Linked DNA regions of Yarrowia lipolytica. The protein of the gene in region 2 purifies or fractionates together with the protein of the main gene of each other region. This does not show direct contact. Links are inferred from orthologs where the notes say so. Each region holds a gene or a part of one and is shown on either strand. Other genes may lie near its edges.

Region 1 (3,082 bases), on a different chromosome or scaffold from region 2:
CCATGGAGATTGTCTGATACAACCCTAGATCCCGTTAGATCCCGTTAGATCGATACAACACCGCTCAGACGTTGGCGTTTTGACTTTGAAAGATTGCTAGCCAGAACGTCGTGGGGGGCTCACTTTTGGGACCTTTTAGCAACTATCCAACGGGTATGAGGTTAAACCTATAGCTCGCCAAGCAAACTTGATAAAGATGGACTCTTAGTGGACCACCTCGAGAGTAGAGATTTATGCAATTGCAATTGCTTTTGCTGCTGCTCGCTCACGGATGCCGTATCCTCGTTCCTGAGACAGTATATTTTCGCTGCATTGCAGGTACGAGCGTTACGGGCCTGGTTCGCCAAGTCATGTGTGCCCTCGGACATATACCGACATTAGACTGCGGCCTCACCATGCACCTCCCCTTACATTTTCTTACTTTGCTATAGGAAAACGTGCTCAAAGAAGATAGTTCTACTTGTAGCGTACAGTACTTGCATACTGCCTCGTACCGGCGAGACGACGGTTGCAGTGGGCTTACAAATTCTGCACTTTGCTCACTTCTGTGATGTAGACACAAAAGAAAAAATCAAACACGATAGCCGGGAACAGGCTTAGATCACAACCTGCGTATTACTCTATATATTCGGGCTAAGTATCTGTAAAATGTTCACAGCGATTAGTGGGCGTTCTTGAGGAACTCATCGTACTCCTCGGCAGTGAGCAGACCCTCAGTCTCCTCGGCACCCTCGATGGGCTTGACCTTGGCGAGGTAACCGTTTCCGTTGGGCTCCTTGTTGATGAGAGAGGGAGTGTCGGCAACGTCAAAGTTAGACTCGACCACCTCGAAGTCGAAGGGAGCAATGATGTCGTTGGTAGCCTTGACGGACTCGACGTTTCCAAAAGCATCGTCCTTCTCGATCTCGTTACCGGCCTCCTCAACCTCAACGAAAGTGGCATCTCCAAGGGCCTCAGCAGCGTACTTGGTGATACCAATGAAGGCAACGCCGTCCTCGTGGAAGGCAACCCAGTCGTGATCCTCGGTGAACTTGAGGGTGTACTTGTTGGAGTACTTGTCGGGAATGGAGCCCTTGATGAGGGTGTGGTTGAGTCGCATCATGGTCAGAGGAGCCATTGTAGGAGCCATGGTGGCTCGGGGAGCGAATCGGAGGGAAGATCGGGCCAGAGTTCGAAGCATTGTGTGTGTTTTTGTGAGTGTAGTTGTGGTGGTGGAACGATATGTTGTCTGGGGTAGGCCACAGTTAAGTTAGGTGGATTGGGGTGACTCGGTTTGACTCAGTGAAGGTAGGGTAAGTGAAGTAGAGAGAACTGTGGGGGTGATCTGATAAATGTGGGTGAATAATGAATCACAAGAATGAGAATCAATATAGACGAGAACAATTCCCGACCACCCTAGACTCTATATACACCACACAGTTGCTCACAAACTCGAGCTGTTCTAGGCCGGCAACTAAACCTTGGACTATTGAGACAGCCGCCTTAACGAGATACGATAATGTGCAGTAGTTGCAACTGCGTACTCAGCTGCCTGTCAGACTCAGTGCTGAGAACACGATAACACTGAGTACAGTTGACGCGGGTGACATGATAGAAGCCGACTTGAGCTTCGAGAAATCGAATACTTGGGCCCCTTCTGTGATCTGTCATTGCTCCTGAAGGGCCATCCCTAGACTGGAACCACGGTCCAATTCACCCCACACAACCAATGATTCAGCCGCACATGGGTCTGATGCGTACTTATGTGCACAACTTGCAGGCTCGGTGCTTCATCAGAGGATACTATGGAAGCAGCTTTCAGGCGACCGTCTGAATAGGGGACAGTACGAAATTTGGCTACAAACAGGCATCTACAGTATGTACACACGAGTAGTCGAGTGGCTGAGAAATAGTTGACAGATATTCTACAAGTACAGACGTGTGTCGGTTGATCGAGAATCCATATCTTCTCAAATGATATACAGGAGAGGTAGACTTTTTCTTTCTTTCTCCAGCGCCGTTCCTAATACTTGTACTATTACAGTATCTCGAGATATCACCGTTTTCCAGGCACTTAGGTAAGTGTCTTAGTTGGCTGATTACTTGGGTAAAATTTGAAAGCCAGGACATCATCAATATCATTTAACTAATGTCTGTTAGCTGCACAAAAATGGAAACAATCCCAGAAGCACTCATAGCTCTTGCAAGATACCATTTATCAATAGACCCCATCAAATAATCATCATTAACCAGGACTGTGGTCTCGAGAAATGTGACAGGCCATCAATGCTCTTCCTACTGTAGGTTAAAACAGGTTAAAACAGGTTAAAACAGGTTAAAACGCCATCTGCCCGTAATACTGTAGTCAGTGATATTACATACAGCGACTCTCTCAGAGCAAGCTACAATACCTGCCGGTATGGTACTTGTCCGAGATGTTGCACCCACAGGTCATTTCCAGGTATGTACAGTACATACTTGATACTGGTACATGCTCCGAACGCAAAAAATGCACGTGACTTTTACCTGAGCAGTAATTAGAGATGAATGTTAGCAGCATCTGGCTTACATGAACGCAGTCATATATTTTATCCACTTTGAGAGCAACCAGACCCCTCAGGTAAATTTCCTTTATTGTTCATATATCCGACCTACCTATTTCGGCTCGATATTAAAGTGCTCTTAATTACTCACGTATTGTACTGACAGACCGACCATGTTCAGAGTGCCAAAATAAGGTTGCAGCATCCAGTAACATTTTCAACCTTCATCTCTCACACGACGTCATCGCATCCCAACTACCCCTCTACACAACAGACTCGAAATGCTCTACGAACTCGTTGGAATCGCATCGGTGACTCCGGCACACGCGGCCGCCAAGCAGGCCGTCACCCAGATCGGCCGAATGATCATCGGCAACAGAGGCGTGGTCCGCCTCATTGAGTGCTGGCGATTCAAGCCCCTGCCCCAGATCATGAAGGCCCAGCAGAAGAGCTACGTGGTCGGCGACTACTTCTACATGAAGTTCGACTGTTCTCCCGGAGCCCAGGGCGAAATCATGCGAGCTGTCCAGGCTGACCCCCGTTTGATTCGAACCTTTTGC
Region 2 (3,144 bases):
CAGATCAGCAGTTTGCATTCCAAGGAGCGGAAGCTCAAATCACAGTCTGAGCTGAATAAGAGCCGATTGGAGCAATTTCCTATGACGCGAAGAGAAGTGGTTGACGTGCCCCGTGACGCTGACAATGTTGTGGAGGTCACGGAGGAGGAACTGCAAGAACTTGAGGAGCTGCAGCGAGAACGGGAGAAGCTGAAGATGGAGATTAGTCGTCTGAATCTGGAAAAGCGGAAGAGTGTCTATGGAAAGTTGCCTCAGTAGGATATATAGGCGTACGTATTTATTTTAATTTATTTACCCATGTTGAGGGTGCTATTGCTTGCCATTTGTGACCAGACTGTGACTTGGTAGGTGGCTCTAGGAGCTATGTTGCATCGTGAGGCTTAAGGCACGCTTGTGTCATTATCACTGTAACCTGGTGTATGCCACGGTGGCATGCATTTACAGTAGTTTATAGCACAGGTTATCAGATGCCAGTAAATCATCTGAATCATGTCTTCCATCCAGTTCTGGCAGCTATAATTTACCCCCTATTGCAAAATCAAAACTCTTTAGGTATGTACATACGGCCTAAGCCTGAGCCTCCTTCTCGACTCTCTTATAATTAACGTCCAGGTAGCTTGCCAGGGAGTAGGCGTAATCGTGGACCACCTCCTCATACTTGACGGGAGGACCCTGTTCGTGCACATTGGTCACCTTCTTTTCGTCCAGACCACATGGCACAATGTGGTCGAACCAGGACAGGTTGTTGTTGACATTGAGACAGATTCCGTGGCTAGTGATGTTTCGTCGGATGTTTACACCCACAGCGGCAATCTTGGACTCTCCATCCATGGTCCAAACTCCAGTGTTTTCAGTTCGGGTGGTGAAGATTTGGTACTGGGCAAGAGCACTGATGATACTGCTCTCCAGCAGACTGATGTAGCACTTGGGGCTCAGGGCCGAGTCAGAGCCGTCATCGTTAATCTTTCGGAATTGCAGTAAATCCAGAATGGGGTATGCGACAATCTGACCCGGCCCATGAAAGGTGGTTTCTCCGCCTCGCAGGGTGTGTGCGATATCGGCCTTGGAAACATCAATTGGTTCATCGGACGGCTCGGATTTCGTCTCTCGGTGGTTGGGGGTTTCCAGAAGGGCGTCTTCTTTGCCCTGCCGTCGACCCATAGTGTACACGGGCTGCATCTGGAAGGTCAGAAGCACCGGGTCCGGCGTCTCCTTGCCTTCCTTCTTGCAGTCCAGAAACTTGCGCACAAGCTTGTCGTGGATGCCCTGTGCATCAGAATACTTGATGGGGCCCTGGATGTGCAGGTGGTTGAGTGTCAGCGGTCGCACCGGTCGAGCTCGGGTCCAGATCATTGTTTCTTGCCTAAACAGACGTGGAATTTGTCGAAAGCGCACGGAAGCACCCAAACTTAATTCTGTGTGGAAATATGCCGGCATTTCATGGAATAAATCTTGAATAAACAAAATAACTCGAATAAAACGGGACGATGAATAAATTGTGTCTCATTTGTTATTCTGATTTTTTGCAATCAAAATATACTCCTTAGGAGCTTCACGCATTTGCTAGTGTCAAACAGAGTGAGAGCCTATACACTACTTGAAATAACAGTCGAGAATGTTGAATGTGTCGCAGGCACAAGTAAGCATAGACGTTCATCAGTGAGTCAGAATCTCTTAGAATAGACCTTGTACTGCTATTCGGACTGTGTTAGATTGCCTCTTTTGTATGATTTGGGCAAATGATGATGTCCTGGTCACTACTGTATTCATAAATCAAACACCCGAAGCCCGTTGGCGTATCGGAGCCCATCATGCACTGATAGCTTTTATCCGAGGTTGCGCGTGAGTCTATATCTGTGGATTTGAGGTCGTTTCGAAGGTGGCGACTTTCTAGAAGAGCTTGTGAGTCGGTTTCCGAAGTCGTTATTGAAGCTGAAACCCCGAGTGTTGTGTGGATGATACCTGTGTTTCGAGTGAATAACTGCTGGAGTATTGAGCTGGAGACTGGTATACAAATGGGTATGAAATTATCACTGAAATACATATTATCTGCTACTGGTAGACTGTCAACTCAGCTACTGCACAACTATCGGTACTTCCTGTACTCGTACAAGTACATAATGTACTGTAACGACTTGTTTTCTGTTGCTAACGTCTTCTCTTCTCCAGACCCTGAATTCAGGCTTATCAGATCAGAAATACATGTCCGTATTGAAGTTCAGTATCTTGGAAATCCAGTCTTTAATGGAGACACTCAATAAACAATAAAGAGTCGGATTTGTCATTCTAATTAAAACTCAACGAAATCTCTCTCAACCCCGCAGAGTCCCTCACCTCTTAGAATTTGTCTCACCATCAAGGAACGTCTCGTCTCGTTGATGACTTGTCTGACTCTGGCTCGACAAATCTGAGTCTGGATAGGATTTCTGGTTACCCAAAAGCAATAATGAGGCGTGTTTAATGCGTCCCCGGACTCGTTGTCGGCTTTTGCTCTTTTGGACCATCTTATCAACCTGCCCCATGTGCTATTGTAGTCTGTTTGTTTAGTTAGTAGCTGTAAGTAGTTACAGTAGGAGCACTTTCTCTGCACAGCAATGTAGTTTATAGCGCACAGTAGCTTGAGTGTTTTAGCACAACGTAGATAAAATCACTCAAGCGGTCTGTCAATGGCCGGTTCACGTCCTCGTCAGCTGTCTGGAGCTACACAGCCACTTTCGGGCACACCCGGTGACCCATAAAACAAAAATTGTACGTTTCCACAGCCGCACTATCCGAGTAATGTACCTGCTTCCGGTGCTTCATTTGAGGAGGGTGAGATGAGAGCATAAACTGAGGGTTAAGTGGAGTCTAACCATTAGAGGTGTGGTGAAAATGGATCACGAGGCACAAAAAGCTGCACAAAACACAATTTACGAGATTAATGCTGATGCTTCGTGTAAATGTGTTTTGGCGAGACCCCAAGAATTTTATTATATGCCGTTTTTCCGATCTCACCCCATAATGGAGACACAATGCTTGTACTTAGTACTTGTAGCTTTGTTTGTTGAGGGGTATGTACCGACTGTATGCACACTGCATTTGGCAGTCATAACAGAGAAGAGAACAGCACACCACATTTTGTTCATAGAGCTCTCAGATTTATTC

Evidence for each region. Proteins that work in one complex are often made in the same cells at the same time.
Region 1: the proteins of YALI1_F34729g (region 2) and YALI1_E00574g purify together in Saccharomyces cerevisiae (affinity purification with mass spectrometry; 3 studies listed by BioGRID). This does not show direct contact. The link is inferred for Yarrowia lipolytica from reciprocal best matches to the Saccharomyces cerevisiae genes LIP2 and GCV3.

What each region holds. Positions count from the first base shown.
Region 1 is NC_090774.1:55,586-58,667, reverse strand, and holds YALI1_E00574g (uncharacterized protein), read right to left. Parts: upstream 1,181-3,082; coding exon 662-1,180; downstream 1-661. Other genes in the region: YALI1_E00551g (mitochondrial 37S ribosomal protein bS6m), read left to right, coding at 2,804-3,082. UniProt on the Saccharomyces cerevisiae protein: The glycine cleavage system (glycine decarboxylase complex) catalyzes the degradation of glycine. The H protein shuttles the methylamine group of glycine from the P protein to the T protein.
Region 2 is NC_090775.1:3,471,484-3,474,627, forward strand, and holds YALI1_F34729g (uncharacterized protein), read right to left. Parts: upstream 1,438-3,144; coding exon 568-1,437; downstream 1-567. Other genes in the region: YALI1_F34712g (uncharacterized protein), read left to right, coding at 1-258; YALI1_F34737g (uncharacterized protein), read right to left, coding at 2,193-2,286, 2,335-2,522. UniProt on the Saccharomyces cerevisiae protein: Catalyzes the transfer of endogenously produced octanoic acid from octanoyl-acyl-carrier-protein onto the lipoyl domains of lipoate-dependent enzymes. Lipoyl-ACP can also act as a substrate although octanoyl-ACP is likely to be the physiological substrate.